Linked DNA regions of Drosophila melanogaster. Changing the gene in region 1 together with any one later gene gives a genetic interaction. Each region holds a gene or a part of one and is shown on either strand. Other genes may lie near its edges. The genes, in order: hid, p53, morgue and gl.

Evidence for each region.
Region 2: of hid (region 1) and p53, changing one suppresses a phenotype caused by changing the other (phenotypic suppression), as found in Drosophila melanogaster (3 studies listed by BioGRID).
Region 3: of hid (region 1) and morgue, changing one suppresses a phenotype caused by changing the other (phenotypic suppression), as found in Drosophila melanogaster (2 studies listed by BioGRID).
Region 4: of hid (region 1) and gl, changing one suppresses a phenotype caused by changing the other (phenotypic suppression), as found in Drosophila melanogaster (2 studies listed by BioGRID).

The regions. Positions count from the first base shown.
Region 1 is NT_037436.4:18,182,627-18,187,522, forward strand, and holds the start of hid (head involution defective), read right to left. Parts: upstream 3,016-4,896; 5' UTR 2,497-3,015; coding exon 2,166-2,496; intron 1-2,165.
Region 2 is NT_033777.3:23,049,142-23,056,109, forward strand, and holds p53 (p53), read right to left. Parts: upstream 4,942-6,968; 5' UTR 4,868-4,941; coding exon 4,824-4,867; exon of another isoform or gene 4,765-4,823; coding exon 4,441-4,764; exon of another isoform or gene 4,254-4,440; coding exon of another isoform or gene 4,216-4,253; exon of another isoform or gene 4,059-4,215; coding exon 3,978-4,058; exon of another isoform or gene 3,908-3,977; coding exon 3,871-3,907; exon of another isoform or gene 3,808-3,870; coding exon 3,781-3,807; exon of another isoform or gene 3,775-3,780; intron 3,763-3,774; coding exon of another isoform or gene 2,548-3,762; intron 2,090-2,547; exon of another isoform or gene 2,079-2,089; coding exon of another isoform or gene 2,049-2,078; intron 1,984-2,048; coding exon 1,674-1,983; intron 1,610-1,673; coding exon 1,363-1,609; intron 1,301-1,362; coding exon 906-1,300; intron 847-905; coding exon 824-846; 3' UTR 516-823; downstream 1-515. Other genes in the region: Gr94a (gustatory receptor 94a), read left to right, coding at 2,548-3,762; Ctns (cystinosin), read right to left, coding at 5,382-5,487, 5,588-5,690, 5,747-6,035, 6,222-6,582, 6,648-6,830, 6,901-6,968.
Region 3 is NT_033779.5:4,442,328-4,446,655, reverse strand, and holds morgue (modifier of rpr and grim, ubiquitously expressed), read left to right. Parts: upstream 1-1,975; 5' UTR 1,976-2,048; coding exon 2,049-2,192; intron 2,193-2,254; coding exon 2,255-3,586; 3' UTR 3,587-3,786; downstream 3,787-4,328. Other genes in the region: Elp3 (elongator complex protein 3), read right to left, coding at 16-544, 598-1,463, 1,520-1,761, 1,824-1,845; CG15432 (uncharacterized protein), read right to left, coding at 3,802-4,158.
Region 4 is NT_033777.3:18,367,396-18,374,487, forward strand, and holds gl (glass), read right to left. Parts: upstream 5,344-7,092; 5' UTR 5,122-5,343; intron 4,475-5,121; 5' UTR 4,384-4,474; coding exon 4,338-4,383; intron 4,055-4,337; coding exon 3,924-4,054; intron 3,441-3,923; coding exon 1,948-3,440; coding exon of another isoform or gene 1,944-1,947; exon of another isoform or gene 1,552-1,943; coding exon 1,407-1,551; coding exon of another isoform or gene 1,182-1,406; 3' UTR 532-1,181; downstream 1-531. Other genes in the region: Nup43 (nucleoporin 43kD), read left to right, coding at 1-466. UniProt on the Drosophila melanogaster protein: Transcription factor required for gene expression specific to photoreceptor cells.

The DNA.
Region 1 (4,896 bases):
TGTGTCACGATTAGATAAATTATCCTCTTGAGTGGCTAACTAAAGTACATGATCGGCGTGCGTTGAGTAGGGGCTTAGATGTGGTTCGGGAAAATGAGATAAGGGAAAATTACTTTTAAATCGAAACTTTCACGATAACGTCAAGTCTTTTTAGCTCGTTTTTCAAAATAAATGCCCCGCAATCGAATTTTCACTGGGCATCAGCTCTCGTAAGCGAAAAAAAAGTATCTCTGTATAAATTATGATATTATAGACGAAAACAGATTGAAGCGCCCAAAAGTGACTCACTGTAATTTCGAGAAGGGAACGCTTTTTTTTCGTCTGACCAACTGTTGCTGACAGCAAAAAAGGTAACAAACCAAATAAAACAGCAAAATAATATAAAGTAACAATTCGGTTGTTCGGTGGAACCAAAGAGCGCAGCTGGCAATCATCGACAGCGACAAAATCTATTATGCAAAGGCAACACAAAATTAAGGAACGCGAATGAAAAACCGCAAAGCAAACATGAAAAGCGCGCGCGCAAAAAAAAGAAAAACAATAAAAACTGACCGCACTCAACGTGGCCGAGCACAAAAGCTACTTAAACAACCGTTAAGTCAAACACTTTGCAAATGGCCCACACCCTCAACCCGTTTGGCCCCCTTTTGGAAAATCGGAAAACTAGTTGCCTAAGGTCAAATGGCGTTTAATAATTTGGGTTAGTCGAGTGGTAAGATATACGAGCAGTACGCTCGAGATAGATAGATATCTTGCAGATACCCAGACACACAGGCACACCACACTCACTCAAAAGTCTCAAAAGTAAGACATTCGACTCGAGTTTGGCGCGTGCCAATTAAACGTGCTTAGCTCTGTGCTCCCAGCTCTGTTTTATTGCCGCTGGGTTATGTTTCCCTGGTTTCAGCCAGGTCTTTATTTTCTTGCTGGTCCAGCACACGCCCAATTTTTTGACCATATTTACGAACAATATCGCATGACAGCCAACTCGGCAGTTGTCTTGCATGTGTCTCGGCGTTTCTTTCTTAAAGCCATAGCACACTAAAAGTTTTATCAGCCTAGTTTAGATAATCATGACCGAAGGAAATTGATCTTAATGTGATTTATCGAGCTAGTTATCACCATTTCTACTTTATTTTCATTTATTTATAACATAAGTAGATTTTTGTCTCAATACAAAATTTTTTAATTTGTAAGATTCCCACTTTGGGAATTTGATCCAGTAATTCCCCACATGATTTTGAGTTTTTGCAGTTTTGTGACTTCGTTTATTAAGTTTGCTCTCTCCTCCAATCGAAACTTCTCAATTACTTCTCAATTTTCCCCTTTTTGAACTTGTTCGATTAATTTTTATTGAATTACCGTTTTTTCGGCTTCCTTTCGAATGTGGCCGAGAAATTTGCCTTCCGCTCTGCCTTTTACACTTTTTTTTTTGCTGATAAGCTGACAAAGTGCTGAATTGACCATATATAAAATAAAAAAAAAACTGGGTAAAAGTAAACAAAAACAACCTGGATGCAGTTGACGCAGTTACTCGAAACTGGATGAATCAACAACCTTGAAAAGTGAAACTTGCACAAGGGGAACTGAAGCAGTTAACAAATAACGTCACAACTTGGCTAATTGCTGACCCATTTTAAAATGAGGGAAACCCTCCGGCTGTCCAGAAACTTTCTTAAACTAAACTAAATGATATTAAAAGCGGTAATCAAAAATATGAAACCTTTAAAGTCGCTTGTATAGAAAAAAATTGTTCGCCATTTTTTATTGATCAAATCTATTAGTTTGAAAATATCTTCAAACATTTAAAATGCTGTTTTTTCGAAAGAAATAAATTTACTATTCTTTAAGCAATTTCAAGTTAATAACATTTTTTGTTTACTTTTACAAGGAGATCCTATGAAAATCCTTCTTGTTAATAGCAAAACAAGTGGGCTTAAATAAAGTGTTGGTTATAAGCATTTTAGAAAATATATTACCAACATGCGTAAGCAGTTATTCTGTGTGGGAACTTCTTAAACATTTCGCAATTAATAACCGTATATGAATCGAAACTTATTTTTGTATCTGCAAATGTATTTGAGGTAAACTAAATGGATATCCTGATTAACCCACACAATTTCAAAGTTCTTAAGAGTGGAGAATTGAGATCTTTGTAGACTTACCACTCTGCTGGCTCTGGTACATCCTGACCCACTCGTAGAGGGCGTATAGCACTTGGTCGGTGGGCAGTGGAGACTGCATCGGCGTCTGCGTGGCCGACGAGGTGGTGGTGTTCGGCGATTGCGAGGCGGCGCTGCTGGCGCCGTCCGACGATGCGGAGGACGAAGATGAGGCCGAGGAGGCGGAGGCCGAGGACACGCCCGAGGAGGAGACGGACGAGGATGCGCTCGAGGGAAGTGGGTGGTTGTGGGGGGAGGAGTTGCCCGAGGCTCCCGATGAACTCGACGCTACGTCATCGGCGCCGCCCTCGGGCAAATAAAAGGGCACGGCCATTGTGTGGGTGTGTGTGTGTGCTGGCTTCCTTTTTGTCCTTATCCGCTTCCTTCCTTCCTGCACTTTGTTGGCACTTTGCTCTTCTTGTGATTGTTCTTCGCTGCTTTGTTTTGCTTTTTATTTTGTGTACAACTTTTGGTTAGAGTTCACTTTAATTGATTTTGTATTTCTTGTGCAAGATTTTGAATATTAGAAACTTTTTCATTTTTCGTGCAGTTTTTTCTTATGATTTGTTTTTTATCTTTCCTGATTTGTCAAACAACACTCAAGTCAAGTTTTTGCTCGGTTAGTTAGTTTTTCGGATTCTTCTGCGTTTTTCATCAACCCTTTTCGTGTTTAGAACTGATTTAAAAACACAAAACTGTTCACGATGGATTTCGTTTTTTATTTTTTGTTATTTTTTTATTCTTTGCTTTTGCTGTTGTCAATTATGGAAGAGCACTTAAAACGTGTCGCAGACTCAAAGAAAGAGGGCAGGAAACACGTCTTACTGGCTCCGCGGCTAAAAATGAACTGTTCGCACTGGGGCCTCAAACTACGGCAACAGAGCCTCTACCGCGACGTCGGCAGAGCGGCAGCGTAGGCGCGCAGCCAGTGCAATCGCAATCTCTCTCGCTCCCTCTCCTGCACATGCACGTGCATGAAGGAGGCACACTTGAGAGAAAAAAAATATTTTAAAAAATCCCGCTCTTTACCTACCCTGTAATAGCTGAGTGAGGAAGAGTATACTCGGACCATGAATTGCGTCTACATAAATGCATCAAGGAGCATAGTTAACATATCTAGATTTTAAGGTTGTAAAAATTTAATTGATTGGCTTTCGCATACTGAAAAAACTGAAATATTGTACCAGCGCACTAATTGCTGAAGTAACACTATTTTATAACTCATATTTACTTACAACATAAAGTACATATTTAGATGCACAAACAATGTGAAGGGTATGTCTCAGTTGGTACTCTTACAAAACGTTCTTTCTCGTTTCAACTAAGAGTGTGTGGGCAGGCTGTGTACGCGTGTATGTGTGGGTACACAAAGATCTTGTCGAGCAGGTAAATTCAGAAGAAGAAGAAAACTCATCAGAAGTAGCGAAGAGGCAGTATATCCGACTGCGCTGCCTAGCGAACGCTAAAGCAAAACAAAAACTGCAATTGTACAACACTCTTTGCTTGTGGTTTTCGTTATTGCACTTTGCTCTTGCTTTCGGTTTTGATTTGTATTTGTTTAAACAAGAGAGCGGAGGGAGAGCAAGCGTTCTTAAGAGGCCAAAAAACCGGAGTAGAAAGAGTATGATAAATGGGAGTATATTCTATGAGCGGATTAAATGAGTTAAAAAGGTAGTAGAAAAAAGGGAGTTTTTAGACAAAGCTTGATTACTTTCTCACATTTTAAAATATTTTGAGAAGGGAAGTTCACAATTTTATAATGTTCAATACTTTTTTTTTGAATATAAATTTGAAAAATAGCAACATGATTAACAAAGGATCCAACTTGCTTAGCTCAGGTTTTACTGGCTAAATGAATGTACATATGTATGTATGTATGTACATTTATGCAGAGAATGATTAGCTAGTTTATTGTATTTAATAAAATAAATTAAATTGTTTTATATTTTGGGTATTCAAGCAATGTAATAAAGACTATTTAGTTGGCGTTCATTCACATTAAACATTTCAAACGTGTTTTTGAATATACGATAAGGAGTTTAGCTAATTACATTTCCGATTTGGATGTTGGCTATATTTAATCAATTTCACCATATATCAAAAATTGACTGTGCAACATGAAAAACCTGTTTTCGCTCTTACTCTTGTCTTCCTCTGCATCTTCCCCTCTCCCTCCCACACATTATACAAACAGGCTTTTTCCTCTCCTTTTCTCTCTCTCTCTCTCTCTCTCTATTTCCTTCTCTGTCATTCCCAACTTTGCGCGCGAAAACGCTTGAAAAAAATTACGAAATACGCGTAAAACAATTCTTGGCTTTTAATTTAAATTTTACGGCAAATAATTCTCGTAACTGGCATTACTTTAGATCCATTTATTAGCTTTGTATCTATGTAGCTCTAGTAGCTCTCTTAATAATGTGGTATTATAAAATGTTCGCAATATAATTTAAAACAAATTAGATTCTAGACCTAAAACTAGTTTAATAGCCCATATTTCAAAATAAAAGAGGCCCGTCGAAAATTCTGAAGAAAATGCACTTGCATTTAATCTAGTTTTATTATACTTGTTCATATCCCTTAAATGATTACCTTAAATTTTTAAAATCAAAAATGATTTTAGCCCTACCTGACACCTTTTTTGTTTTCACCCAAAAACTCTCTTTATTTAATAAACTAAGATTGAGGTCAAAAATATGCCGATAAAGTGCGATAACACGTAAGCTAAACGACTCGA
Region 2 (6,968 bases), on another chromosome or scaffold:
GCAGCCGGTCGAAGAAGGACAGGCCCCAAATGGAAGTGAGTGCATCCGCTTTGGCTGAATTTTTGGACACAGAGGCTATCATTCCGTTACGATTAGGGCGCACTTAATGCCCCTGCCCTAGGTCAATGAACAGCGATCGGTGGGCTAGAGTAAACATTTAGCTGCCGCATGTGGCAAAAGCTAAAGTCGCCTGCAGCTGCAGCGGCACAGTGTCAACATCTGGTGTTTGTTGCACTTTTTTGCATCCTCGCACATGTGCAACGCTGGCGCAACGCATGCGCCCTGCTTGAGGTTGTTTTTTTTTTTTTGAAAGCATAGAACTAAAACCAAAGACGTGCAGATACGGGTATAAATAAAGTATGTAAATGCGACGCAGCAATTTTGACATATTAGCAGCTAGCTAGCTGAGTTGCATCCTGAGTGCATTGACCGCACACAAGCCACACATGTCACATAGCATGTGCTCCACGGTGGGGGTACAGTAGGCTCTGGGCATTGGCGTACACCACGAGGATATGTTTGCAAAATATGACAACTCTTTAATAAATTCACTTTTGGCTTTTTTGTACAGAGTATGTTTGTTGTGGTAGACAAAAGTTACGTAGTCACATAGAACTGCAGTTAACAACAGTATACTATCAAAAATATAAAAATGTTTTCTTTTCGGCCATCGAACATGCCAAAAGGGGAATATCACCGTTAAACGCCTTACGAACAAGGACTAATACAAACTTAAGATACTAATAGCTATGTAGTATACCCCACAGATGCAACACATTTCAAAGGTATCTGATACCTGGGAGATTGTCGACCAGATCAGAAGTCATGGCAGCTCGTAGGCACGTTCTGAAAGGAAAGTTCGGTAAGTAAAGCTTAATCTCTTTGTCCTCCGATTCACTGCTTACTCTTAAGGCTCAGCAATTTGTTGGCATGGCGACGTAGATTCTCTTGGTTGGGATTGCGCAGGACTTCAGCCGCCGCCTCCTTAATCATGCCCTCGATGCTCTGCAGCAGCCATTCCTTATTGGGGCACGTAATAGCCAGACGGTAATCGCCATCCGGTGTCCGCGACACGTTCCACTCTGCGGCGGAGTCGTCGCAGTCTCGGCTATCATTGCTCTCCGTGTCCTCCGTCTTTATAGCAATGCACCGACGCACCTTGGACGGCTCATCTTCTTCGGCGGCTTCCGGCACGGACTTGCGCTTCTTGCTATTGAGCTGGCGTTCGTCTTGGATGCGATCCCGCTTGGGGCACGTACATATTTTAACATGTATAACATGCTGTCCCACGATATCGCCGCTGCAAGAAAGAAAACACGTTAAGCTTTGTTCTAGCCATCTAGAGTTTTGCTGTCACCTTACCATGCTTTCTCCAGGCAGAAGACTAAGGAAGTTTCTTTTCGCCCGATACACGAGTTTTGGCAGACGAACTTGAAGGCCAGGGTCTGGCGCGTGAGCCCACTGCGGGTTACAGACCGGCTCATGTTCAGGGGGACTACAACGGAAAAACGCTCGGAAATTCCCTTGCCCTGAGCATTTCCACAATATACACTGTTGGGATTCTCGCTGCGCAGCAAGCTCTCGCGCATTTTTGCGTTATTGGCCGTCACTAAAGGTTTGTACAAATGATAGTTAAATAATCCTGTTCGATCTGTATTGTTATCTTCACTTACAAGGCTCAACGCTAAGGTGATTTTGACAGCGGACCACGGGAGCACTCACATCATTGGAGAAGCAAAGGAACACACGCAAATTAAGTGGTTGGATGGGCATTTTAGACTTGAACTGAACGTCCACGTTGAAGGCCTTGTTCATCCGGATGTAGAGCTTGTTCAGCGGAATCGAGTACATCCAAAGAGACTTGGGCGGCTCATCCAGAACCATGCTGAAGCAATAACCACCGATGTTGTGATTCTCTAGCTTGGGCAGCGTGTTCGCCTGGATCTGAATGTCCTGCAGCATCATTTCGCGCAGCACGGATTGCTGTAAGCAAAAACAAGATATTATTTGAATGTCAACTTAACTCGCAATCATATAAGGGTTCACACTTTGCGCTCATAGAGCTGATAGAGCTTCATGTTCCAGCTTGCTCGAGTTACAAATGGACTGGCGATTTGTTTTGTATTCTATTCTATTTTTCACAAGTGCTTGAAATTCTCGCTAAACGATGACGACGGGAAGGAGTGCACCGTGCTAATCGGCTAGATAAGAGTGTTTTGTTCTGTCCTCCAACTGAAAGTGAACTTCGAAGCGACTTTGACGTCATGTCGCTCTTATGAAATTGCAGGCAGCGGCTGAGTCACGCAAGGAATGCCGCTTCCCTCACGCTTCTTATGCTCTTTTGTTTGTGGCTAGTAGTAGCACAACGCATGCTCAGTTGGTTTCTGGACGGCCGGTGAAATACATGCGTTTCGCGATGTGTCCCGATAGTGTCCGGCTACTTGACAGGTCCTCTAGATGGCATCAGTTGGGTAGTTGGAAAACAATTAAGCAGATATTAATGCTGTGGAAAGTGCGCTCACAGTTTGTATTAATTGTTCGAGAGAAATGGACTTCACCAGCGACTACGCGCATCGGCGTATGGTGAAATTTCTGACGATCATACTGATAGGCTTTATGACCGTCTTCGGACTCCTGGCCAATCGATATCGGGCGGGCCGTCGTGAAAGATTCCGCTTCTCAAAGGCAAATCTGGCCTTTGCTTCGCTGTGGGCAATTGCATTCAGCTTGGTTTACGGGCGGCAAATCTACAAGGAGTACCAGGAGGGTCAGATCAACCTGAAGGACGCCACCACTCTGTACAGCTATATGAACATTACGGTGGCTGTTATTAACTATGTGTCGCAAATGATAATCAGTGACCATGTGGCCAAGGTGTTGAGCAAAGTGCCCTTCTTTGATACCCTAAAAGAATTCCGTCTGGACAGCAGGTCGCTGTACATATCCATCGTTTTGGCTCTGGTCAAGACCGTGGCTTTTCCTCTAACAATTGAAGTGGCTTTCATACTGCAACAGAGGCGGCAGCATCCCGAGATGAGCTTGATCTGGACCTTGTACCGGCTGTTTCCCTTAATTATTTCGAATTTTCTCAATAACTGCTACTTTGGCGCAATGGTGGTGGTGAAGGAGATTCTGTACGCTCTGAACAGACGGCTGGAAGCGCAGCTGCAGGAGGTGAATCTGCTGCAGAGGAAGGACCAGCTAAAGTTGTACACTAAATACTACCGCATGCAGCGATTTTGCGCCTTGGCGGATGAACTCGACCAGCTGGCGTATCGCTATAGGTTGATATATGTGCATTCGGGAAAGTATCTGACCCCAATGTCCTTGTCCATGATTCTGTCGCTCATATGCCACCTGCTCGGAATAACGGTGGGTTTCTACAGTCTGTACTATGCCATAGCGGACACCTTAATCATGGGCAAGCCGTACGATGGTCTTGGATCGCTGATCAATCTGGTTTTCCTCTCCATCTCGCTGGCGGAGATCACATTGCTCACGCATTTGTGCAACCACCTATTGGTGGCCACCCGAAGATCGGCAGTCATTCTCCAGGAGATGAATCTCCAGCATGCGGACAGCCGCTACCGTCAGGCAGTCCACGGCTTTACTCTGCTGGTCACGGTGACCAAGTACCAAATTAAACCCTTGGGCTTGTACGAGCTGGACATGCGACTGATCAGCAATGTCTTCTCGGCGGTGGCCAGCTTCCTGCTGATCCTCGTGCAGGCCGATCTGTCCCAGCGCTTCAAGATGCAATAGCTAATCGATGTTACCCACCTGGCTGAACTGCATCAGATTCCCGGACTGCGGGGAATAATATTAAATAGTTAGTAAGCTATAGCTTTGCACATTAAAAGCACAACTCACGTTTAATCCCTGCAAGAAGGCCATGGGTTCCGTGGTCCTGGAATAATAAAAACAATAATAGTTAGCAACCAGGCAAACCACATGTGACCACGTGACCAGGTACTCACAATTCCGATCCCGATACCTCCACCGTTTTCGGAATATCCTCCTTGATATCGACCTCCGTGGAGTCATCCTCGGAATCAGTGCTAAAGTGTAAAAGGGAAATAAAAACTTAGTGGCAAACTGCGCCTTGGCTGGATAAACAAACACAAACAAGTTGGCCGCGCGAATGATGCAAGTACAAGCGTGTTGCTACATGCAAGGTTTCTACTGTTCGATCATCAATTTGTTGCCGCACTGTACCTTTCTTTGTGCCACGACATTGGCTGTGATATATACATCTTAGTCGGCTATATCTGATCAAGCGATCTTGTTGGGGAAGGAGGCTAAATATTAAAAATTCGCTAACAAAAAACTACAGAATCGTAGTGGCCACCGACTATTTGGATTTTGCCATTCGCCACGCAGCGCGAACAATCGCCGTAGCCAATGTTTATCGATTGGAGCGCGTGTTTTGAATTTGCTCACCCCTTGTGGCAGACGAATTTGTTGCATGCATTAATTTTGTTATTGCCATCGGAATTATTGTTGGCCAAAATTTCCAGATTGTTCGTGAACTGCATCATGTTGTTCGTGTTGTTGCCTCCGTAGGCTGGATCCACAGGCGTAGCCAGGTGGGCATATTCGTTGGATTCGTTGCCAAAACTCTGCGGCAAGTTGAAAGCTCCGTTGCTGGAGACCCGAACTGCTGACTCTGCAGAAACTTCGTTGCCGATATCCCAAAAATCCAGGAACTCCTTGAAAGCTTCAAAAATTGTGCGACTATTGCTACGCGAAACAATCGAAGTGTTTCTGCAAAAAGGCGCAACATTATTTTGTTGGGTAAGACCGAATAAAATATCTCCGCTCACTGGTTAAAAGTCAAGCTAAACGACGCGGACTTGTGAAGACTCATGGCTGTGCACTCAAATAAATAAATTTTATTTAGCAGTTGCGATTTGTGTCCGCAAGAATCTTCCGTGCTCCAGGGATGTCAACTAACCGGAAATTGGCTAACTTAATGTCATATATCCATGGCTATCGATAAGCTATCGATAAGGATTTGGCCGAGTGCGAACAGTGCTGCCCATTGTGCGGCAAGTTAGAATTTCTGTTTTGAAATTTTTTCAATACTTCAATCTATTTATTAGTTTGCAAATAACGCGCCGTATGCAGCAAATTGGTTTCACTGCACAGCCCTTTGAATGGTCGAGCAATGTACCGTATGATTTCTGGCTCCTACAAAAAATTAAGTTTTATTTAATGGTGAAATTCCAAATTTTAGTCAAACTAAATTTCAATTAAAACGCACGAATTATACAAAGCTTAGGCAGCTACGGCATACGGATATATTTACAATTCTAAAAATGTACATAAAGCGCTACTGGCACAAAAGTCTTTCTCTACAGCAGACATATGATAATGCAGCTCTAATATTTCTCAGTCGTCACTTCGCTCGGCGGCGGCGACTCATTTGTTCGATTTTGAACATCGGTCACGGTGGTGAGGTCAGAGCTCGAGGATTCCCTCGAATGCCTGGGGAGAAATGGAAAACAGCACAGCAATAATGATAAGTGTACAGTGGAGATGACATAATCGTAGATTAAGTATCATATTCACACAATGTTTCAATCACCTGTAAAACACATAGTGCTGCAGCATGAAGAACACATCGAAGAGCACGGAAAACAGACCCAGTCCGAATTTGGTGGGATCACCGAAAATCGACACCCAATCATCTGGAAACCAGACACGATTTCATTCGAAAATCACAAATTGATAGACTATATCCTACCGTAATTATGAGCATTCAGAATCATTTGCAGCATGCTCAGCGTTCCTCCCGTGAAATCCAGCAGAATGTTGCCGATGCTCCAGCCGGAGGTGCTCTTCCGGCGATAGTTCATCAGAGCTTGCGGCACGTACTTGATGATGGTAATGGTTAGCTTGACGTAACTGCAGTAGTACAGAAAGTCCAGCCAATGGATGACGGATCCTCCGGCCAAACCGGCAGACACGACGACCACCACGGCGAAGATGGCCAATATTCCGTAGGCAATGAACGACACCCTTTGCTGTGCTCTCTGGACAAATTTAACAAAGTATGGATGTTTTACAAGTCAAAACCTTATCTACTCTTCATATCGTAACTATCCGCTGTGATTCAAATGATTTGGCATTTTGATTGATGGCAATTAGTGTTCAATGCGACAACTGTTGCCACTTCGGCGATAAGGCTATTGAATGGTATTTGCTATATATATTATTACCTGATAGAAAAAGCACTGAAGGATCGTAATGCAGGTGGCGAACATGGCATGCAGTGAGAAGACCACGTCGTTGAGCATCACAGGATTCACTCCCAGCGGATATCGCACCTCGTACTCGTTCTGCAGATCCTCGATGAAATAGAGGCCGCAGTTGAACATGCTGTACAGGGTGAAGCCCACGATATTGAGGGCCAGGAAATCAAAGTTCAGTCCCTCGACGGACTTGCGGCGATAGTTGCTCCAGATCTGCGGATAGAAGGACACCGACCAGGCCACAAAGTAAACCCAGCCAAAGATGATGGAGGTGTAGATCAAAGCTCTCGATTTGGCCACAGTCACGCGTACGAACACATCCTTCACACTGGAAAATAAGTGAATTTTCCAATTAGGTACGGGAACAGTTGGGATTCCCGTGAAGTTACTCACATCTCTTTGTTCGCATCATCGCTATCTGCGACCACTTTGACGTTGCCGGCTTTGAGGCCAGTTATCACCACCGACTGATTTCGAGTACTGCCCGCTGGATACACAAACGTTGCGGGATCGAGGAGCAAATGATCCTCCGAATCTGTTCCCAGCGCAACTTCCACGTCGCTGTCTAGCAATCCGCTGTAATGGGCACAATAGATTTACGATGCCATATGTTTTGGATTTGGATTTCCCGGCAATGGCAACTCACTTGGCGAACACCAGAAAAGTCTCGTTGCTGTTCAGCAGAACGGTGATGTCATGGGAATCGACGGTGAG
Region 3 (4,328 bases), on another chromosome or scaffold:
CATTTAACGCTATACCTAGTTATTTTCTTCTATGCTCTTTGACATGTAGGGTCCGTCAAGTTGGTATCCCATTTTGCGATAGTAGTTTCTGGTGCCCACTCCCGATATGACCGCCAGTTTTGTGCTGCCGTGCTCCTCTCGAGCAATTCGCTCCGCCTCCTCCATCAGCAACATACCGAAGCCCTGGTGCTGAAACTTGGTGGGATCCCTAGCATTAACCGGCACGACTGAGCCATATACGTGCAGCTCCCTCACAATGGAGCATTCGCCCTTCAGTTCCGGGCGGAAGGTATCCGGTGAGCACTTTCGCAGCCTAAGAAGGCCTACGAGAATGTCCTGTTCAGGATCTTCGTATGAGAGGAACGTTTCCCAGCCGCCATTGGCCACATAGTCCCGACGAATTAGCTCAATTTCGTAAGGGCGCACCTTGTTGTGGATTTCCTGAATGCCAACTTCGCGGGTTCTAACATCGCGGCAAGTGGTTCCAAGATCCTTCATGCGGGCCAGCGCCAGTTCACGGAGATTTCCGTGTTCCACGCCGGAACTAAAATGAAGAAAAATGTCAGGTTTATTTAATATATATATCGGACAAGTTACCTAACAAGCGGCATGGGAATGTCGCGCTGTACGCGGTACACTCGCGTCCATGGTGGTACAAGGGCCAAAATCTTCGCCACTAAGTCCACAAGCATGGATGGCGGATATGACTTATATCGCCCGGTTTTCCATAACTCGTAGAGACCAGTGCCGCGAATGACGAGCGTGGGATAGATCTTTAGGCCGTCAGAGCGGAAGGCAGGGTTCTCAAAGTACTCGATAAACTGCTCGATGTCGCGTTCAAAGTCAACATTGGGAAGATCAGGCATCATGTGCGTCACGATCTTATAGCCAGCATCCTTGCCCAGCTGGAAGCTCTCGCACACCGCTCGCACCGTGTGTCCGCGGTTCGTATCCCTGGCCACGTCTTCGTAAACCGATTGCACACCGATTTCCAGCCGGGTGCAACCATAGCTAAGCATATCCGATATGTGCCGCTTTAGGCAGTAATCTGGCCTTGTTTCTATGGTGATGCCAATGCACTTTGTGCGTGACTTCTCCGAGTAGCGTACGGCTTCCGCCACATTGGCGCTGCTGTGGCCGGAGAGGGCGTCGTGTAGGTTGCGGATAAAGTAGTCGCGGTACTCCTCCGGCAGGCACATGAACGTACCGCCCATTACGATGAACTCCACCTTGTCCACACTGTGTCCCAGCTGCTTCAGCTGTTCAACGCGGTGTCGGGTCTGAAGAAAAGGATCGTACCGCGACCGGATGGCTCGCATCGAGGTCGGCTCGTAGCCTGTGTACGACTGTGTCGAGTACTCAAAGTCGCTGTCCGGTCCGCCGGGACAATAGACGCATATATTGCCGGTCATATTGATGTGCGGACAACGATGCGGCTTGCACATGACGGCGACCACGGCGATCTGGATTGAAATAATTGAAATGAATAGTACGCCTTGTGTAAGCAAGTGCGACTTACGCCACTTGCTGTGCGAATGGGCTTTGCCCTCAGCTTTGGAAGCAGAATTTTTTTGGCGTCCTGCGGCACGGCAGCAATTATGTCGACCAGGCGCGGCGAACTGTCCAGTCCATATTTGGAGGCCACCAATGATTTCATCCGATTAAGGTTTACATCCTTTTTGGCTTCGTGCGCCTTCAGCAGCTCCTGAATGATCTCCCCGATGACGAGCACCTGTCGTTCCTGGCGGCTCAATCCCACGCCTGAAATAATTGGCGGGGTAAACGGACGTTTAAAGAATTACTTTCGTAGCGACGTTACCTACCCAACTTCTTTTTTGCCTTCATTTTGCTGATGAATATCACATAAACTGCACGTGTGAAGTTAGCAGCACTTGTTTTGATTCGGTTATCGACCGACCAATAGTCCGATAACCACAACACTGTTTGACAGGTTTTGAAGCTAACACCACTTGGTAACACTTTTAGATGGTCTATCGTTTGTCGATTATTTATTTGTTTTAGCACCAGTTTCTCGGGAGTTCTGTAAAATGACTAGCTGCGTGCCAGCGCATCAGCAAAAGGACCAGGAGCAGTTGCTAAAGGAACTGGCCAGCAGTGGCGACGAGATGGACGACCCGGACGATCCGGACCAGGAACACCACCAGCTGGTAGAGCCGACCTTCTCTTTTTCGGTATGTATACAATAGGCTAGTTTCTTGCGGGCCGATTAATAAATAGCCTTTCCAATTTGCAGAATAGTAACACCTGCTGGGTGTGCAACGGCTACTATGGGCCCAACTTCGGGGAGCCGTTGTGCGGCGCCTGCCACGCCTTCCTGTACAACGCACAGCGGGCGGAGGAGCTGCTCACGGAGCTTTCCGATGACGAGGATTCTGGGAACGACGAGCCGCCGTTCAAGGACAAGCAGGAAGACGAGGAGACCGAAAACGACGTAGACATCATGGGCTTTGAGGATCTGGAGGACCCCCAACCGGCAGCCGTGCCACAACATCCAAATCCGCAGCCACCAATGGAGCCACAGGATCAACAGCCAGCCCAACCAGTTATAGATCTGCCACAGCCGGTGCCGGAGGCTGCGGCACCACGACGCGAGTCTCCGGAGCGCGACTTTGAGCACGAGAGAGCCATTAATCCCTTCCTGCTGCCCATTAAGCGTCCGCGGGCCACGGCTCCCTTGGCTCTGCCCCATTACATGCATGAGCTGGCCGATGGAAGGGCGCGAGTGCATGAATACAACGCCGCCAGCGGAAGCGGAGCAAGTGGCAGCAGCAGAAACATTGTCAACATAATACCCGTCGAGGTGATGCTGAAAATATTTGCCTATTTGGACGACATGTCGCTGTGGATGGCTAGTGAAGTTTGCAAGCAATGGCACGACATTGTCGGGAAAAACACGGCCCAGAGCATGTGGAAGGCGTATATCAAGCAGCGCTGGCCGCTGTTCGACAGTTTGGCAGACAATCCAAACTGGTATCGGCTGTACGGGGCACTGATGTCTTCCTGCTTCTGTCGCACTTGCCTGATTGAGATGGGCGGTCGGGGTCAGGATGCACAGGAGGCAGATCCACAGCTGGGCGATCGGGAGCCGGGCAATGTAATGCGCAACAACTTTCTGCGCGGTGAAGCCAATCTGCTGAACAGCTACGAATCTGAGGGCATATCGGCCATACCGTTGGATCGGCAAAACAACTACTGGCAGGCGACAATTCTGGGGCCACCGGGCAGTCCCTACGAAGGCGGCAAGTTCTTCCTGTTCATATACTTCCCGGAGCGATATCCGATGACGCCGCCCACAGTACGTTTCCTCACCAAAATCCTGCATCCGAATGTTTCGCGGCATGGGGACGTGGGCATCGACATCTTCCAGCAGCACAACTGGTCTCTGGCGCTGAACGTGGCCAAGGTGCTGCTTTCTGTGCAGAGCCTGCTGACCGATCCGTATACCGAAGTCTGCATGGAGCCTGAACTTGGATACATCTATGAGCACGAGCGCGAAAGGTTCGAGCAACTGGTGCGCGCGTGGACATGGAAGTACGCCATGTACGAGCTAATTGCACCGCGCTAGAAGATCAAAAGCCCTCCAAGGACAATGGACTGAAAGTTGGAAACTACCCCTCTTTACGTTGTAACTACATATGCCTGTGTATTTAGCTTAGTTGTGCCATCTGGATTGTTTATTTTGGCCTCCCCTCTCACTTTTCCTGCGCTCCAGGTTGAAACGTAGTCGAAATTACTTAACCTTATAATAAATGTATGCTTTAAGTTACGAGCGGCGTCGCCTCACTTCGTCCAGGACACCTTGGGGATGTCAAAGTGCTCGGTGAGCGTGTCCAGGTGCTCGTTGAATTTCTCCACGCGCTCCTTGTGGGTGGTTTGTGCCTTGTCCATGATTCGCTTGTTGCGCATCTTTTCCTGCTGCTTCTTACTGGCCAGCTCGGCCTTGGTGAGCTTCCGCTCGTAGCCACTGGTGGCGGAGGAGGATGTGGCCCCCGATTCCGCTATTTGCTGCTCCACGAACGCCTTCTGCAGCTCCTTCTCCTTGTCCTTGCCCTTGTGCTTCTTCTTTTTCTTCTTGAGATCCGAATCGTTCTTTAGTTTAAGCTTGCCCTTGGCCACGCAGGCGTACTCGTCGGACATGTCTTTAATGGGTTTTCAATCTGGAAATGGATTGGTAATGAATCCGATCTGTTTACGTTTTTCTTGTTTTTGTTTACACCAACTGCACGTTGTTATCTTTACATAATTTCTGATATTCGATGTTATTACCTGACCAGAAATATATCGATGGCATTTTATCGAATACATTT
Region 4 (7,092 bases), on another chromosome or scaffold:
GCAGCCGAAGACCACCTTTATGGTGGCCTCCCAGGATGACAAGTCGAACTTTGTCTCGTCCCTTGCCAAGCATCCGATGCAGCAACATATTTTACTTTGCGGCAGCGAAGAGGGTTCCATAACCGTCTGGGATATGCGAAACCTCAGTTATCCCGCCTCCTATCTCAGCGCTCACAAAAGTCCCATCAACGAGATAGGCTTCCATCAAAAGGATCCCAGCAAACTGTTCACCGCCGCAGAAGGTGGCGAGGTGTGGATGTGGTCAGAGAACAAAGTTCTCGGGTGCGACTATAACAAAGACGGACACAGCCCCTGGTTGTCTGGCGATCGTGTTCGCTCCCTGGTCGATGTGGAGGGAGTGCTGAGTAATGTTCGCAAGTCCATCAACTCCTTCGATGTGCATGGAAGTCGTCTGGTCTGCGGAGGCGACACAGAAGCCGTTTACCTAGTTGATAATATTGTTTAAATGTCAAGCCTTTTGAATTCCTTACCTAAATTATATAATATTTCAATTGTTGAAATCAATTAGTTACTGTATTTAATTTTCGTATATTTATTATTTTCTTTATATACTCCAAAATTGGCTTAGATCAAAGCACCTGTCTTACATCTACGTCTAGTTTAAGCTTAGGACTCTATATTCGTATACAGGTGTTTATGGGTTTAATGCCTTGGCAATTCCAATTTAAATATTCTCGTTTTGGGTGCTGCTGTGTTGTTTGGTCTTATGATTCATACTCATATCCGTCTTAAATCCTATTTCGTTGGCTAATTTGGAATAGATTTATGCGTGTTTTGAACTACCTTATTTAATGGATGAACTAACTTGGATTCAATGCATATTAGGCTAAGCGAATATAATAAATATAGTATGTATAAGTATGTACAGTGCAGCTCTTAGGCCTACTTTTGTTCGATTCTCCGCGATTCCTCAGATTTGTATTGTTTGAGCATTTTTAACTGCATTTGGATGCGGATTTGGGTTATGAGTATTATTACATCGTTATGTTCAATTAGGATTTCAATTTAACACGAACCCAAATTATTTTTCTACAGCAATGTTGAGTATGGCATATACATTATTGTATTTATCAGCGATAGAGTGACTATCCCCGTATAATTCACTGAGTGGTCCTCCTTTAAGGTTTCTTATCCAGATGGGATCCTCCAGATTTTAGTCCCTAGTAGAATCGTTCGAACTTGGGCGCCTTGTTGAGTGCGCAGAAATAATACCCTGAATAGTTTTGTGTGGCTCCGGGTGGAGTATAATCGCCGATGCTGTAGTTCCCGTAGTCGTAGTTACCCATGTGGGCGTGGTGATGGTGATGGGCGTGGTGCTGGTGGTGCATGTGGTGGGTGTGCGGGGGGTGGTAATGCTGGAAACCTCCTGCACTCCTTGGCTTTTGTCATGTGAGCAGGCTGTTGCCACCACCAACTCCGCTGCCGGTGGAGGACTCTCCACCAACTCCGGTTGCCCCATTGCTGCCATTGCTGCTGTTGTTGTTGCCGTGGACGCGCATGTGCCGATTCAAGTTCCCCGACTGCGAAAATCTGTGGACACCAAAAAAGCAATTAACTCGATGTATAACGTTCCAGGACTGCTCTTTGGGGGCCTAAGCCTTTTTTAAGGGGTAATTTTCATCTTTAGCATTACATTTGAATAAACAATTATTATTTCATTTAATTTCAGTTCTTTAGTTGAAGTTGAAAATCTTACGAAAATGCATGAATGAAAATGAATGATGCATATTATCTTTGGTTTTCCTTTTTTTTAAGCTTGCAACAGTCTCAGTTTTGTTCAAGTTGTTAGTTTTATATTGAAACGATAGAAATTATTAAACTATCTTTAAAGCTTTAAGGGTTTACGTAAAAGTAAAAGCAAAACCATTTTCGTTCGTTTAGGAATGAGGAAGGACGGTGTAAGTAAATCCCCCATCCCGGACTCACCTGAGCAGGCAGAGCTTGCACTGGTAGGGCTTCTCGCCACTGTGGATTCGCAGGTGCTTGGTGAGGGTGCTGCTGTCCGAGAAGGACTTCTTGCACGAGGAGCAGCGGTACGGCCGCTCGCCGGAGTGGGTGCGCATGTGCGTGGTGACACTGGAACTCTGCGAGAATCTCCGGTCGCAGATGGGGCAGCGGAACGGCTTCTGGCCGGTGTGTGTGCGTACGTGAGCCGTCAGGTTGGCTGCCTGCGAGAAGCTCTTGTTGCAGTCGGGGCATCGATAGGGTCTTTCGCCGGAATGGGTCCGCAGATGGGTCTTGAGCGTGCTGGGCCGGGCATATGTCTTTCCGCACAACCGGCATAGATTGGGTTTCATCTCGCCGCCACTGCTGCCCTCATCGCCGTCCAGATCCTCGTTGCTATCCTCCTCGTCCTCGAAGGCGGATAGACTTAAGCCCAGGGCGGCTGCCTGATAGCTGGTGGGACTTTTGTGGGGCGGTGTGTATCCCTGATTGCCCACCCCCGTGGGATAGTAGCCAGCCAAAGAGGAGTTGGCCGGCGGCGATGGCGACTCCTTTTCGCCCACCGTCAGCGGTGGCAGGGCACCCAGACCCGTGGGAGCCGGTGCCCGAAAATCCGCTGTAAAGGAATATGTGGCCGAGGCAGGATAGTGACCGGGACTCAGCAGCGGTGGGTATAGCACATTTACCGCCGCTGCTGCTGCTGCCGCCGAGGTGGAGTTACTGGGTGGCGTCCAGTTCATCTGGGAGCACTGCATTGGCACGCCGCCTGCATCACCGGCACCGTAGCCATGGTGCATGGTCATGTTCATGCTGACGTTCACGCTCATGCTGGGATACATGGCTGCCGCCGGAGGAGGAGGTGGTGCGGCCGTTCCAGCACTGGTTTCATAGTAGCAACTGGCAGCGTTGGCCACTCCTCCGGCACTACCATTACTGCCGATATTGTTGCCACCACTGCTTTGGAGGAGAGAGTTGCCTACGTGCGATGCCTGGACTTGGGATTGCTGGTGCTGGTGCTGCTGGTGCTGCGAGTGCATCTGGCCATGATTGTGGGAGTTCGGCGAAATGAGCATCTGGTGCGGATGCACTGTGTAGGAGAGTGAGGCGGCCTGGTGCGGATTGCCGGCGGCAAAGTTGTAGGAAGCGCCGCAGGGCGAGAATGGGAACAGGCTGGGCAGCGGATCGATGTCCAGCGGCGGTAGGCCGGGAAATGTGGAAGCCATCTCGTCGGTGCTCCAGTAGCCGTGATTACCCGAGGAGCCTCCTCCGGCACCGTTGTTGCTGCTCCCGTTGCCGCTGCTCGCCGGTGGTGTCGTGCTGATCTGGATGTGGCCGCCACCGATGCCCACGCCCACTCCAATCGTGGGATCGAAACAGCCGCCGCAGTCGAAGTCGCTGCTGGTGAGCGAGGAGATGGGCAGGGCGGTGCTGCCCTGGCAGGATAGGCAGCCGACGCAGGAAGCGGCGCACTCTTGCTGCACGAGCGAAAACGGAAATGGAGATTGAGACCGGTTATGAAATACATTCAGTTAGTACTAATACGTAACTAAGACAAAATAATTAGTTAGTTAGTGGAAACATTTAGTAAATTTTAACTATTTTTACATTCTAATACTGACTTCTGAGGAGAGTTTAATTGTATTACATATGGAAGGAATTTCTAAGCTATTAAACTTCCCAATAGATAAAATCGTATGGGTTAAAAATGTAATAGATTACTTTAAAAACGAAAATGATAAACTTCTTAGTACAAAACTGTCTGATTTTTCAGTTACCGATATAGCAAATTAAAATAACCACAATTTCGGTATTGGGTTCTATTTCCTGGTTATAAAATTTAAATAGTTCAGGTATATCACAGATTTCAGCTAAGTTCTTTCCACGAAACAAGCACAACCGAACGCTCGAAGATTTCCGGAGATATTGAGGCGAAATCGAAAAAGGATTCCAGGACTCACCTGAGGGCTGTCCAGCGCCAGGCCGAACAGGGGATTGTTGGGCACATAGCCCGTCTCTGGTTCCACAGGACCGCCGTTTGAGACATCGCACGATATGTACATAGCTCCACCCTCTTGATCTTCCAGGGAATCTGCGCAGCCAAAAAAAAAAAAAAAAGAACAGCATGAAAATCACTGGAAGTACGCCAGAGATGCTCGCCAGCAGCGCGTATCTCATGGATACATTTTTGCTCCCATGACAACCACTGTGCGCACTAGCTCCGCCCCTCGAGACACACACAGACACACACAAATACACAAATCGAGAGACCGCCATTTGCTTTGCTCTCTCGACTCGCGACTTTCCATCCGTGTATCGCCATACAATATGCTGTATCTGCATATCTGTGCAATGGTGCTTCCGATTTCACTCACCCAGAATTGTGTTCAGGAGTTTGGAACCCTTATATAACAATCCCATGACATGACTCCACTTCTGGAACGTTTGGGCTCAGCAGTCGCGCATTTGTTCCTGCTTTTCCTACGCTTCATCTTGATGCGTTAATTTCCAACTGCAAGGCGATGACGGAACATTATTGGTAAATTCTAATTAAGATTCACTTTCTATTCATTTATTCAAATCTATTATTCAATTTATTATTTATTCAATCAAATACCAATATCAAATCTAATCTTCATATATTTTCAATAAAGTGTTAATAAATTCAGTTTTAAATAAAGTTCGACAGCTAATCAGAAATTAGATACACAATATGACAGATTCTTCACCTCTAAATTTAAAAGAGATATCGAATTATAGATCGCTCTTATGACGAAGATGGATTTCAATTCGATTGTTTCATTATTGTTAGGACTAAAAAATTATACTAAAATTACAATAACTTTCATTTTGAAAGAAACAAAACGTTAAAATTGCTATTTAACTAATTTATGCATGCAAATCAAAGTAAATTTTTGTTTTTCTTTTTAATGAGATCAAAGCTATGATATTGTTAAATTGATAAAATCTTCTTAGTGAATTGATTTTTTCGATCTTAGCCAAAACATTGTTAGGACATTTTAATTAGCTATTTGCAGTTATTAGGTTTTATTTCAAATACATTAGTTGTATTCCATTTTTTCTTTCTTCTTTTTTATTGCAGATTTAATATTGTTTATTCCGTTCTTTATTCACATATGCACTCTTAATCGTTTTCACCTTCTGAATAGATCCACAAATGGCATGATACCAAGATCACCAATAGAATTTCAACGTTTTCTTGCAAAATATGTTTGTAACTTTTTTTTCGAAGACTCGGTTTTAAGTAGTAACACACGATCGTTGTTTTCCGATTTGAATTTTATGCGTTTTCAGTTTTCGATTTTTCGAGTGCGGGGCAAGAAGCGACTTTTGGCGAGGAGCATAAGACGGCGACTAATTGTCAGTTGCAGTTCGGTTCGAGCCACCTCGGCCCAAAATCGACTGATATATCGGATTGGCAGAGCGGCAGCAAAGCGACAACCGACAACTACAGAGGAAGCAGCAGGGCGCAAAAAACATACTCACTTAATTATAAACAAGCGACAAAAGGGCGCAAAAGACAACGGCAACAACAATCTCGCTCGCACTCACACTTTGGTCGGCTATAATGACACAAGTACGCAGCACTACACACTCGAGACCCTTGCTGAAAGCACCCCTCCTCCAATACCAAACCCATACCATACCATACCCACACCAAGCCATCCCGCACTATATCCCATGCCCACTCCTGAGATTCCATCCATCCACCACCACAACAACGCTGCCGTCATCGTTGTTGGCCAACCAATGCGCTCCGTCTGCCGGCTTTTGCGGCTACTACCCACCCCTCTGCTGCTTCCACGTCCACATCCTCATCCAAATCCAAAGTCACCCTCCTCCGCCTTCGCCTTCGCCTCCATATCCGACTCCTCCGCTGCCGATCCCGCCCAGTCCGAGTTTCAGGCCCATTCATACGTGGCCAGCTACATCGGCAGCAGTTTTCAGTAGTTTTTATTTGTCACCCAATATCTTACAGCTCGACACCAGATACCAACGAGGCGGGGAGAAAAAAGAGTACACTTCGAGAAATAATCGCTAGCAAGCAGTTCTAGTGCTCTAGAATGTTACACTTCAAAATCGATGGCCGTTCAAATAACGTTGTTTTCAATTCACAAACAAGTATCCTCACTTTATTTGTTGAAAAGAAGATATGAAGTTCCTTTTCCTTAAAATCTATAGATGCACAACCGCAGATTGTCGCTAAATTCTTAAGAGGACATCAAATCACTTGAGACTATTTGATATGCTTGTGATTAGTGAATATTTTCGATATATAACATATTATTTACTTTCTTAAAATAAAGGTATTGTAATTTTATTACATAATAAACAAAAAGTACTATAGGGATTATTAATAAACAATGTAATTGGTATGATATAAATATGATACAAGAAGTATTGAAAATAAAGTAATTCACATATTAAAATGGGAATTTTCTGGCAGGGTCTCTGATGAGGGAGGGACAGTTGCTACGGACTTGCCAACCATTGATCGTCTTCGTCGGCATTCTGCTTCCTCTTCGCTCCATTGTTTTGTGGTTAAGTGAGGCAGTCCATCGGCCAAGTCGGCCGGCAACCCCCTGACTGCTTCTGTAGCTTGTATCTGCGTATCTGGCCGTGTGTATCTGCTTCTGTTGCGTGTATCTTTGTATCTCTATCTCCGGCGCTGATTCTCAATTGTAGCCCGGCCAATGACGACTGCCAATCGATCGATGCTCTTGTCGCCGGGCCGACAATCGTGAATAGTTTGAATGTTATTTGATAGTTCGATTTGTGGTCGCAGCAGAAAAAGCAAGGAATAAATCGCAGGCCAGATGGAAAAGCAAATGGAAATTATGAAATAGATGTGTTAAGCCCAACTCGACTATATTTAGCTAAGATATATTATAGATATAATGCTATGAAGAGATCCCAATTCGGATCGATCACCTGGTTCACACGCCCGAAATCGAATTCACCGCCAATTGGCAAAATCAGTTGAGTGCAAAGGCTTGCAGTGATCGCATACGTATCGAGCTATATCCCCCATATCACCTTACCTTATCGATGGGAATTTCAGGTCAAGCCCAGCCAGCGTCGTGTGTGTTAAAATCAGATCCACAGTCT